Drosophila melanogaster: one gene and its partner. The protein of the gene in region 2 binds, or shares a complex with, the protein of the main gene of each other region. Each region holds a gene or a part of one and is shown on either strand. Other genes may lie near its edges. A codon is read from its position in the direction of its gene.

Region 1 (4,801 bases), on a different chromosome or scaffold from region 2:
AAGGCAGATATATCCAAGGATCAGCCGCCGGCGCTACCGTGTCCACCAGACTTGACTTCTGTGAGTCCGCAACACCATCTGCACCATCATCATGGCCACCATTACGCAAGTTCCGAGGCGGATTCCGTGCCGGCCACAGGAAATTCAACACCGTTACCGGGTTTCAGCAATATTCCCCATTGCAAGATAATACCCGTGGAGTCGTACAAACATGAGTATCCCGACTACGATCCCGATGAGGAGGAGACGGACGATCAGTGCGATCCGCAGCAAATGATGCTGCCGCAGAGATATAATCCTTATCACATGGAGCACGACGCCTGGAGTTCGTCCTGCGATATGGCGAATGATTTTGCTGGCTATGCCTCTGTGCCACAAAGTATTTCCGGATCGGTCAGCTCACCGCCCTCGGCCCCGCCAACAAATCCACTACTTAGGCGGAATCAGTATTGGGTGTAAGGTTTAGAAGGATGTTCTGCAATAAAGGGATCAATACAAGCGTTTCCAATTCGATCGGAATTAGTCCTAGGTTATTTATTTAAATATAAGCTTACGTTTAAGGCTGATTTATGAGATTCGTTAGGAAAAGTGAAGCATTTTATATACGAAAACATTAATTATAGTTTGGAAACAAGCACACATACATATCTGGCGTGTCATATACAAACGATTAGCATTAAGGACGAGAACAAGAGTTATACTCAAAAAGCCAACTTAACTTAGCCTTAGAATTGTGTTTGCCAACGTGGAATACTTTTTACAATAAATGACAATACTTTTAAGCGTAGTTCCCGTGTCTTATTTCAAAACTCAAAAAATTTTCAGGAAGATTTATTTCGCATTCGTAATTATTTTAACCGGATGGAAGTGTGTTGAGAAACGTTTGTGGTGATTGCGAATGAATTGGTTTTCCCCCATATTACCATTTACAAAACTTTTCCACATAAAAAACTTAACATGATAATAAATTGAACATTATAAATATATTTCTTAACAGTTATAAATATGTCTCTTCGTTCATAGTTGTGATGTTGTAAGTATTTTCGTTGCTTTAAGGAAAATATTAAAGTAAAGAGAAAAAAGTTCCTTTACATATAATTTCATACAGATCGAATATAAGTTTTCAGGGCCACATTGGGTTATCAAAAATATGTCCCAACATATATAAACCTATTAATTAAGGTTTATATTCTACAGATATGCGTATATATTCCATATTGATAGAAGACTTCTTGCTTAATAACTATGAAAAATATCACTAGTTTTAATGTGGTGCACATTTTGCTTTCGCTGGACTGATTTAGAAGTAAGAGTTTTCAAGTACTTGTATGGCCTTAGAAAGCGACGGGAATCGTCGCTGCTGAGGGTTTCTCGGAAACCGGCGTTACGACCATGGCCTGATTATCGTATCCGTATCCGATCTCCGTCATAACCGTTGTGGGCGTGGTACTGTTTTCCGCCGGATAGCGAGTGCTCACCGGCGTTGTCATAGTCACAACGGAACCCTCGGCAGCACCTGTAATAAATCATTGCAGGTATAATGTGTACATTGGGAAGTGTTATTGGAAAAACCCGGACAGGTAGATCCTTACACTTACCTGCCACACTGTAGATCTGTGATTGTGCCCGCTCAAGGTCGCTGCCGGGATGGTTAATGGCATTCAGATTCTGTATGGTGGTAGCATTAAGATCCTTTCCATTTGCAGTTGCCGGATGAGGGTAGGCCTTCGATTGGAGACGGCGCATCAGCTTCTGGAAGCACCGATTGCCTATCAGCCATCGAAGGAACTGAAACGCGCAACGAAGCGCAATCAGGACGAGAAGGATAGTCAGCAGCAAGAGGATCAGCTGCTGGGTATTCTGGATGTCCAGCATCTCGGCTTTTAACGGCTCAAATGTCTTGTAAGCTGTGGGTTGATAAAGAAATTAAATAATATCGCTACTATTATCGTTTTAAGTAAATAATAATTGATAAAACACGGGAACGTTTTTGATAACTCGTTGTACATAGTCAGATAAAAATTGCAAATGCAACTGGCCTTATCTTGCCATTACAACTTTTACAAATCTTTTACACTAAAAAAATTATTATAAAGCTAGTTTCAACAAATCATTTTTATTATAAAAATGTACATTCTTTAAATCTTTAAAATACCCCCTATTTTAGTCAACTCATGGGTGATGAGTTAATCACCCGCTGAAGCAACTGTAATTGAAATACAATTAAGTCCAGCTGGAAAAACCTGAACTTGCATAGAACCCGCCAAATTACCCTATGGATCGTGAGTTAATCTGAGGTAATCTTTTGGAAATCTTTGAATTCTACTTGCCTGAACATTCCTTGGCGCACAGAAACGCATCGTAGTTGTGGGTTTGATTATTGCAGACCTCGATGCACGGATGACATCTCTCCGTTGCAACATAGCAAAATTCATTGACCGGATGACAGATCGTGCCATGGCAATCCCTACTCTCTCCATTGGCCGCAGCTACCAAGGAAACACTTGGAATCAACGGAACTCCACCAATGGAGAGCGATAGGGCACTCAACTTCCTGACCGACATTTGAGGTATTTTATAATGTGTGCTTAATTTACTTGTTATGGGTATTTGGTTTTGTAGCGAGCTCGTTCCGCTAAGTTTGATCGAAGTTTACATTAGCACTGTTACAACTTTTTCCTCGTTTTAAGGTTTTTGTTTTGTTATTTTTAAACGTATCCAAAGTATGATTCATACACCAGTAACGCGGCCCAGACGCTAACTGACTAACTTCTTTTTTAATTGCTGGCTTCTGGAGTCTGAGTATTTTGCGTTGCCCTTATACGTATAATCACATGTGTATTGGTGCAAACGAGTTTATCTTAGCCAAGTTTTACAGCAGTTTTCATAGTATTCCGGTTAGTTTCTCAACATTTTCACACATTTTTCTAGGGGATGTCCGGACACTTAATTATTAGGTTTAATTCTGTATTTTTTACACCAATATATTATATATTATATGATTTAATACGCTTTTTAACTTTAAACGTTTTTAGCCATCGTTCAGCGACGCGTTTTGAGCCACATTCAACTCGTTACTGACTGGAATGCCGCGATCGCTCGCTGTTACCAACAACTCAGCACTCGCACCGAGGCATCTATCTCAAATACACACTCATTCGCACCGTGACTTGACTTTTGTTTACCTTTTTCACGTCGATTGTAGATGCAAAAGTATCTGTATATCTATGCTGTGGCAAGTAATACAAGTATTTGTGTGTCTGCGATCGACTGTTTATTTTGCGCTATGAGTGAAATACTCCCGACTTCGGCATACTTTGAACCCGGCTTCAGTTTCTTAAATTTCGGCTGCGATTTGACTTATAAAAATAAATAACAACGAGAAGGTAGTGCCTCAAGAAGTATTTTATAGAGACTACTTGCTCACTCACTTTATTACCCAAGTTATCAATTAAAATAATAATAAAGTTTTATATGAATAAACGACAATATGTTTAAGATAACTTTTATTGAAATTCCCAGTATCCCAATATGAACTATACGTTTAAAGTTTTTTTTACAACATTACCTATTATTTAAATTTTAATTATAATACCTTACTTTCACAACTAACTAGCAGTCGTGATATTTATAAACAAGTTTCTAGCTACACAATTTTTATCTAATTAAATATGATTTTGGAATTTTTTAAGTGTAGCATTTGTTGAGGATTGAAACCTCGCTTAGCTAACGCAATGGTGTATGTCTTTACTAAACAGCAAATGCCATATACATAAATAAAAGAAATACTGAAATTCGTTGCTCCCAACTCATTTTGGAAAATTAAATAATAATAAAAAACCATATGTACATATATACCGTTTAATGAATTTATAAATCAATAGTAAAATTATAACTTTTTGTATTTAGATTTGAAATCTTTTTGAAACTTGGCAGCACTGTTTTGAGTTATTCTCTCTCCTCTCTCTTATTCTCTCTTCCATTGCAGTGCCGCTTTCGAGATACATTTGTATCGGCTTCCAGTTCCAGCGCCGCTTGCAGTATTATTGTGTCTTCCAGTTAGCTGGACTGTATGGCCAAGTCAAACAACATCCATTCGCTGAGCGGCTTTCGCTGTTGAATGAGCTGTTTTGCTGCTTTCGTGGAACGACGGCCGCCGGTTCGTTGCGTATCTTTGGGATACAATACCTAAATCAAATCGAATTTTGAATTGCAGCTGTCGTTGTTGCGCGCGTGTTGATGGTGGAAATTGTGGAATTATAAGCATTATATCTCGTGTGGAAGTGTGAAAGTGAAATAGTTGCACCGAGAGCGACGCAATTAGATGAAAATATAGTTTACTCACGCTCTGTATCGCCGCATCTATGTATCTATTTTGCCAGCCCGCTTCAACAAGTAAACCAACATAAATTAAAAATCAGTGGAGTGGAAGGCGCGTCCTTGAGCTACCCAATTTAAACACCTGTTTTAGAACGAGATACAGATATTCTATAGAGATTTGAGCCACCGAAAGAGACAGCCAGAGCCTGTTAGAAAGAGAAGGGTGGCGAGAGGAGGAGAGAGATGAATAATTTCACAACCACAACAGCAGCCGCACCACCAAAGGAAGCGCTGCCCCGATCAGGACATGTTAATGAGGGTAAGCATGGGTTAAGAACCGAACCGAAGCAAACCATTTCGAAATTGGTTGAACATGAACAATTTCGTACGGGGCCTTGGATAATTGGAAATTGATTGGGTTTGAGTGTAGCTATTGAGATGAAGGGGCTTTGGAATTGGGGCGGGGGGGGCATGAGCACCA
Region 2 (8,021 bases):
TTGGCGCTATTGCGGCGCATGTCTAATAAATATCATCGCCGATCGCGCGATAAACGACTAGCACATAAGGAATCCACAGTACGGTATATATGGGTCCGAACTCCCCAGTCTGATCCGATCCAAACAATGCCCAAGAGAAGCGCTACTTACTCAATGGGGGGAGAATATGTGTAATGGCATGACTGGGTGTCTGTACTGTAGCTAAGTCAATTGCCCGGCATTGACTTTGAAAAATCGCCTCGAGATCGTCTTGCTTCTTGGCCGTGCTCCATTAAGTGAGGCTGATGGTTAACCCTCTGTGCAAGCACGTGATATATCTAGATCTTACAATATCATGTACATCGACATACCAGCTCAATGCTGATATATGTACATATATGTTTGCACAGATCATTGAATCAGATTCATTAACACTGCATAAAACCAAAAAGGTCTCAGAGCTTAGATTGAAACAATTCGTCCGATTTATTCCATAATTAATTAAGCTTTTCACAACTGAATTTATATAAAACAAATGATGTAATACAAAAAAGTAAGATACAAAACACAAAAAAGTAATAGAAGCTTTTCAAAAACTATTGTATATACAAATGTACATACATATGTATATGTATATAATTTTAAATCATTGATTTACCATTTCCGAACATTGAAAATTATAAATAAAAATGTGGTCTTGCACAATGCGAAAACAGATAACGACTAATGGGTTAAGAAGTGCACCGGAAGCGTGTGCCATCCGATCCCCGCTCTTACGGCCTGAGCAGTTCTACCTGTGGTTACCTGTTTGTCGCAGACGATTAGAAACTAATTAGCTGACCAACGCCGACATTTGCATCTCTGCCGAATGACGACACTCTTGGGCGGATTTACGATACGGGTCTGTTTGGCAGCCGGTTCGGCAGACTAGTTGTCGCGACGGTGGCTGATCGGATCGGATCAGCATTAGGTTTATGGCTACCCCGCTACCCGTAATTAGAACCCGTACTTAGGCACGGCGCTGACAGACCCCGATCGTCGGTCTAAGTAATAATAAATACGATTTTAATGAAATGCTAAAAGTTCATTTGGCTTATCTATGGGTTTGTCAACGATCCGCCACTTTTCGGAACTCAATTAGCTGCGGCTCGGGAATCGAAGATCGGGGATCTGTTCCATGTCAGTGTCATGAAGGGAGCTCGAACAAAGCAGCCACACAAAGAAAATGAAGCGAAAACCCGGGGATGCGAAGCCAAGCCGCTTACAGTGGTGCCGATTTCAAAAAGCAATCGAGCAACCCCTATAAATCACAGGGGGAGGTTTTAAGTGCACATAACACATAAAAAGAAATAAAAGCAGTGGAAAACACTGCGCAAAAAGTCAAACACGCTTTGCTACTTATGATCGCCATATGTGCAAGGGAAATCGGAACCAAGTACAGTCTGTCTTGGCTAAAAACAACGATGAGATGGTCTTCAATATGGCATCCAATATTCTAAATTAGATACACTATTTTCTTCTCTTTTGATAAATGTTATTAAAGTTCGTTATTTGAGCATTTCAATTTGATATTGAAATTATGATAACATTGTTAAATTGTTAACAACTTTAGACTATATGAACTATTATTTAGTGTTATATCATATTATAAATCATATTTTTGTAAATATTTCTTATGCACACCATGATTATGAGTTTCATACAAATAATTTGTTATAATAAATAAAAATCGTATCTACATATACATATGTACATGTAAAATTGTAGAAATATAATAATTAATTTAATTCCTGTTAGCCAGAGCCCACTGTATCACCAAAACACCACCCCGGGAGAACCTTGCCAAAAATTAATTACACAAAGTAAACAGCGCAGGCGCCCTTAAGTATGCCGCGCATCCTCGCCACGTGAGCGAGGGAGACGGTGCCAATCCGTTGTCCCTCTTGCTCGCCTGCCTGCTCGAACGTGAGAAATCAAGTGCCGCTCGGTTCGTTTTCCCTCAGTTCACGCTCCCGTTCTCAGTTCAAATTCATTCTCTTTCGAATCGTCGACGCGAACGGACGTTTAAAGTGAGAAAAGAAACCGGTAAATCAGAGATCCCAAGCAAGCGCGTGCGTGCATGATAGCGAAGAAAAAAAGCTATCCGTTTCAGTTAACTACTTACCAAGATTGAATTTCGCCATCGGGCAAATTACTAAAAATACATAAGTGCAACTCGTCCACTGTGTGTTGTGTTTTTTTTTTTTTTTTTGGTTTTCGCTGTGCCTTTATCGCAAACAAGAACTGATAAAACTAGAAAATATCTTGAGAAACTTGTTTTCGCGCTTTTCTTTTGCTAATTGCCGATCGCGGAAGAGAAAAACAAGCAGTAGACAAAACAAGTGTGGTAATACAATCTGAAAAGGGCACCATCAGCAGCCCGAGGGGTTTATCTATATAGATGTCGCAGCTTATCATCTCATGCTGTCTGTGAGGTTGTTCTGTGTGCTCGTGTAGTATCTTAAATACATAGAGTGTGTTCATATAAAGTGCGACAAAGCTCGATTGGAAACAGCTGTCGAGTGCCCTTGAGTGGGTGGGCAAGATCGTCATCATCATCATCGTCGTCATTATCAACAGAATCAGCATCAGCATCTGGAGGCCCCGGTTGCTCTAAGATCCCCAGTGTTCATCAATTATGACTGCCGAGACCCTCAAGCCGTTTATAACGCCAACGAGTGCCAACGATGATGGTTTTCCGGCCAAAGCGACCAGCACGGCGACCGCCCAGCGACGCACCCGCCAGCTGATCCCCCTGGTTTTGGGGTTCATCGGTCTGGGGCTGGTCGTTGCCATTCTCGCACTAACGGTAAGTTTTCCTTCACAATCATTTACCCAATAGCAGCCCAATCAGGTATTATTGCCCATTTGGATCGACTATCGCGATTCTAAACACACCAATTAGACTCTGAACTGAATGAAATCGTACTACAAAATTTTCATTAAGATGCTATTAATTGATAACATTGCGTCTCTATCTGCCTACTTAAGATAACAAACCATGCTTAAAGATGTTTAATTAAGGTGGCACAAATCATACTTAGTATTGAAATAATTACAAATAAATAAATAGTATAACATATTTTATGTGTGTTTGAGCGTCGTACAATCTCTTCAGTCGCATTTTATGTTTTTAATGTTTTTTAGCACACTAAAATCGTCAAATGTGCTGAATAGATTTAGTTAATGAATATAATTTGAAAAAGATTAAAGTAGTCACCTCCAAATTGAAATAGCTATTCCATACTTGAATGCCTTTTTTTTTGTTTGTTGTGTGCGATTAATGATTCGTCGGAATTCCAAAGGTGTGGGTATATCAGTTATTGGTGGGAGTTTCCCCAGAATATAGATAGGAATGAGTTGTTATGGGCTATGTTGTTTAATGATATTTTGGGCGCCAAAGTGGGCCAATCATGATTATATGGCCGTTTTAATGACTGTTTCGAAACGAGTGTAAAGGTATTACACTGATTCTTAAACTAGACTTTTGTAGAATTTGTGTTTTATTGTGTTTTTAGTGTTTTATTTTGGTAGTTTAATTTATAATTTTGCTTAGTTATCTCTCCAAAAACCATCACAACGACAGTTAGTTTTATCTGGAAAACAGATTGCACCAATAAAGTAATGAAAGCATAAAAACAGAGAGATTCCATTCAGCCATGAACCGCCTTCTAGACTCTGAACAGACTCCTATTTTTCGGAAATGTTTATTTCAGTAGCTTGCCAAAATAAAATGCGAATAAATATAAATGCAAATTGGACTTTAACAACGTATGTGTATAGACACCCCCGAAATCGCAATCTAAAAATGAATATTTAACCTTTGGCACGCTTCGGCTTATAAAGCTGTTTGTCACAAAGTCTTTGTTGATGCCAAATTAAAGACGAAATTCCGCGGATGCATAAATTGAAATGAAAACAGACTTTATGATCCGTGACCGTCGCAGATAGGTTAACTATAATTTGGCATGAAACTATATTTAGAGCGGGAAAAACGGCGGTTTCTTGGCTGATCAAGCGATGTCATCACCGACACGTCTTTAGGCCAAATCGGTTCCTAATGATCCAGCTAATCCAAATAAAGCGGATGCAGATGCTAGAGAAATGTTTATCGGTACATGTCTGTTCTTCCCTTTTGTTTTTGTTCAACCGATTTAAATGCCACTGAGTCCGTTCTGTTATGCATTCGATAAATCTTCGACTGGGTTGTTGTGTCATGTTTTTCCCTGATAACTTTGCGAATGAGTGTGCTCGCTGAAATCCGGATTTGAATTGCAGAAGATTAAGTTTGTGGACTTGAATCTGGTCCTTCTCTCCCACCCCCATTTCCCCCCCCCTCACCCAGGACTCCTCCATGACCCACTCAACTTTGGCTTAAGTGAACGGAAATCGTACAATTGACAATTGACTTGTAAATGATTGGCTTCAGCCACTGACGTGGGCCTCAAGTTCGGTTTTCCTCATAAATCTCCGTTAAGCCATGAAGCATTTTTCGTTGTTTAATTCAATTTCACTGACATTCGTACAAAGTAACCCTCATCATTTGGGGCCCTCTAAGAAAGTGACAAACTGCAGGCGCTGCGATCGATCTACTGATCGCCGATAAGCTCTAATGGAAAGTGGTTCACTGGAAACTTAAACAAGTTTCTTGGGTCTGCGTAAAGTCCATAATTTATACAAGAATTCAGTACAAGTTGTTGTGTGTACCTACATGTATGTACATGTGTATATTTCCCCGTCTGCGCGTACAGTGGCTTAAGTTGAGCCATTCTTTTCGATTTCGGCTGCCAGTCGAGACTTGAGAAGTGTCCGTATATAAGGCCTCTGCTCGGCCCGAATGTTAATGATCCATTAAGCAGATTATGTGGCTGAGTGGCGATCGTACGTACCCCGCCGTATTTCCCCACGAAATCTTTCTCGTCTCGCCTCTATCAGTTTGTTCAGTTAGTTTTTATATATTTTTCGGGTGTCAAAAGTTCGCGGCACTGGGTGTTATATGATGTGCCGGGCCTTAGCACCAGCTATAGATGTTTAATTGGGGCTACGTTAAATTGATTGCCCAATTGCTAATGAGCGGATGATTAGAAACGAGCCTGAATGAGTGTGTAACAATTGAATTATCTTATCTTGCAGATCTGGCAGACAACGCGTGTATCGCATCTGGACAAGGAGCTGAAGAGCCTGAAGCGAGTCGTCGATAATCTCCAGCAGCGTTTGGGCATAAACTATCTGGACGAGTTCGACGAGTTCCAAAAGGAGGTGAGCAATTGCGTAAATCACTTTCGAGCATCAATATTTGTACTCGGCGATGGGGCAGGGGCTGTAACATTTGCCCCGGGCAAATACAGATACCTCGAATTGTTTACAAAGTCGGAAATGATTGTTATTCCTTGAGGCTGGTACTTGAGTTTTTAATGAGGGTATATCGAACTTTTGTTATTGAGTATCTATTATGTTTAGTTTTCTTTTTGCCTAAAGGGTAATTTGCATTTTATGATGGCAAACTCTGGCTAGGGTATCTCACAGTCGGTAAGCCATGCGCCTGTTTTTGAAAAAGAATGCCTCAAAAAAATGACCAGACGTAATATGTGGTTATTGTGTGGGACATACAAAAATATTTATAGAATTATGTGCTAAAATATAATTTCGACGCTGTTTCATCTGTTATTTGTTTCATTTTTTTTTGTTAGCTGCTTGGCCAAAGGCACATAGAAAATTGTGATAGATTATTTGAATTATAATGTCTCTTTCCGCAAGGAAACACTCATTTCAAATATGAGGCGCCAGCCAGTTCACGTAATTTATGAGATACAAATCCCCAAGTGACAAAAGGTAAAAGCCCCAATAATTCAACAAAAATACTAGGCTCTATCAGTAGATATAGTCGTTCAAGGCGAGCGATCGCTTTTGGCTGTATGTGACGATTGATCGAATCTCATCAAATGGCCTAATGGCCAGAGATGGTTTTAAGATTTTAAGATTTATTTATATTTTGATGGCTGGGCATCTGTGGTGCCAATTCTCTTGAGAGTTTCCTTCGCTTTTAAATATATGTATGATGTACACAAGTATATGTATACGAGTATCATGTTTTTGAGCGAGGCGCCATCAATTAGGATGATGACGAAACAGCCTGTGCTGCGGGCGTGTGTCTAAAAATGAACGTCCCAAATGGATGTGAGATATGTGCCAGGACTGTGCCAGCTGCAGTCACGTACTTGGCCAAGTCTTCTGACCCAAAATGCTGATGCCCATCCCTTCGTTGCAGTACGAGAATGCCCTCATCGACTATCCAAAAAAGGTGGATGGCCTCACGGATGAGGAGGACGACGACGATGGCGATGGTCTGGATTCCATTGCGGACGACGAGGACGACGACGTTAGCTATAGCTCTGTGGATGATGTTGGCGCAGACTACGAGGACTACACCGATATGTTAAATAAACTCAACAATGCACATACCGGCACCACGCCCACATCTGAGACCACTGCTGAGGGCGAGGGCGAGACGGACAGTGCATCCTCAGCCTCAAATGATGACAATGTGTTCGATGACTTTACCAGCTACAATGCCCACAAAAAGAAGCAGGAGAGGTGAGCACGGATGAAATTTTCAGGGATTTATCGTATTAAGCCTCTGCTTTTCCTCTTCACAGAAAATCTCGCTCGATTGCCGATGTACGCAATGAGGAGCAGAATATTCAAGGAAATCACACAGAGCTTCAGGAAAAGTCATCCAATGAGGCAACTTCCAAAGAGAGGTAAGTAGAACGTTCCGTTGAAAACAGGCAAGAAAAACCATTAATGAAGTTATATGCTATGGGTTAAAGATAGATAGTTAACTGCGTAACTGAAACACATATGTATACATTTTCTTTTTACTTGAAGCCCTGCACCACTTCACCACCGTCGCAGAATGCATTCCCGCCATCGCCACCTCCTAGTCCGCAAAGGTGTGTAGTGTAGAAAAGCGAAACAATTGGCAAAAATCGAATACCAAATCTCTATTCGCACCTCTGTTAATTTGCAGGTGAATCTCTTCTTTCAGCCAGATCCGAGGACTCGAGGCCAGCAGCCCATTTCCACTTGAGCAGCAGGCGGCGTCACCAAGGAAGTATGGGTAAGGAGATGCTTCCGCGTCAAGCGTGTACATACAAGTACTACAGGCAACCTAATGAAGTCACTTCTTGAATTTCTCAGGCTACCATGGAGATATGTACATAGGAAATGATAACGAGAGAAACTCTTATCAGGGACACTTTCAAACGCGCGATGGCGTCTTGACGGTGACCAATACAGGCCTATATTACGTATACGCCCAGATATGCTACAACAACTCGCACGACCAGAACGGATTTATCGTCTTTCAAGGAGACACTCCATTCCTGCAGTGCTTGAACACGGTGCCCACCAACATGCCACATAAGGTGCACACCTGCCACACGAGTGGTCTGATCCACCTGGAACGAAACGAGAGGATCCATCTGAAGGACATTCACAACGATCGCAATGCAGTTCTGCGGGAGGGAAACAACCGAAGCTACTTTGGCATCTTCAAGGTGTAAATTGGAGAGATTATCCCCGGTCAGAAGATGGAATACCAGTTTAAGCTTTTGTCCCCGCGACTGCTCGTGAATGCGATTCATCGCCAGCGTGAATCCATTAGTTCGTAGTACCTAGTCTTAGTCACTCCAAACCTAATCTCAATCGGAATCGTGCATACTGCATTAGTCAGAAGACGGAGGAAAATCATATTTATTTTGTATATACTCGTTCGACTCTAAAAAGTGAATAAAAATATATGTAGCTATTACCCGCTTGTGTAAGCGTGTTTAAGAAACATCAATTGAATCAATTGCTACCAGTTGCAATTGAAAATATTATAATCTTCTAAATAATGAATATTCGTTCTTAGTATAATTCGATTCAAAATGCTTCAAATGCTTTCAATTCAAATCTCAAATGAAGAGCCATTCAAAGATATCCCTCAGCTTTATTTGTGC

The links.
Region 1: the proteins of egr (region 2) and grnd are in contact, whole or in part, in a crystal structure (PDB 6ZT0), measured with the Drosophila melanogaster proteins. Residues at the interface, in NP_724878.2 of Drosophila melanogaster: Ser341 (codon at 7,356), His342 (codon at 7,359), Asp343 (codon at 7,362), Gln344 (codon at 7,365), Leu360 (codon at 7,413), Thr365 (codon at 7,428), Asn366 (codon at 7,431), Lys370 (codon at 7,443), Ile393 (codon at 7,512), His394 (codon at 7,515), Asn395 (codon at 7,518), Arg397 (codon at 7,524); in NP_001260538.1 of Drosophila melanogaster: Tyr48 (codon at 2,424), Val49 (codon at 2,421), Ala50 (codon at 2,418), Thr51 (codon at 2,415), His55 (codon at 2,403), His66 (codon at 2,370), Asn67 (codon at 2,367), Tyr68 (codon at 2,364), Asp69 (codon at 2,361), Phe71 (codon at 2,355), Leu72 (codon at 2,352).

The regions. Positions count from the first base shown.
Region 1 is NT_033779.5:18,483,732-18,488,532, reverse strand, and holds grnd (grindelwald), read right to left. Parts: upstream 3,117-4,801; 5' UTR 2,566-3,116; coding exon 2,331-2,565; intron 1,908-2,330; coding exon 1,599-1,907; intron 1,517-1,598; coding exon 1,335-1,516; 3' UTR 512-1,334; downstream 1-511. Other genes in the region: kon (kon-tiki), read left to right, coding at 1-459; CG10283 (uncharacterized protein), read left to right, coding at 4,564-4,639. UniProt on the Drosophila melanogaster protein: Acts as a receptor for TNF-cytokine egr. Plays a role in activation of JNK signaling and is required for egr-induced apoptosis, including in wing imaginal discs during development. May also play an egr-independent role in cell proliferation.
Region 2 is NT_033778.4:10,076,356-10,084,376, forward strand, and holds egr (eiger), read left to right. Parts: upstream 1-2,010; 5' UTR 2,011-2,656; coding exon 2,657-2,827; intron 2,828-4,257; exon of another isoform or gene 4,258-4,339; intron 4,340-4,432; exon of another isoform or gene 4,433-4,569; intron 4,570-4,832; exon of another isoform or gene 4,833-4,970; intron 4,971-5,151; coding exon 5,152-5,277; intron 5,278-5,897; exon of another isoform or gene 5,898-5,967; intron 5,968-6,286; coding exon 6,287-6,612; intron 6,613-6,674; coding exon 6,675-6,779; intron 6,780-6,906; coding exon 6,907-6,971; intron 6,972-7,048; coding exon 7,049-7,138; intron 7,139-7,218; coding exon 7,219-7,583; 3' UTR 7,584-7,855; downstream 7,856-8,021.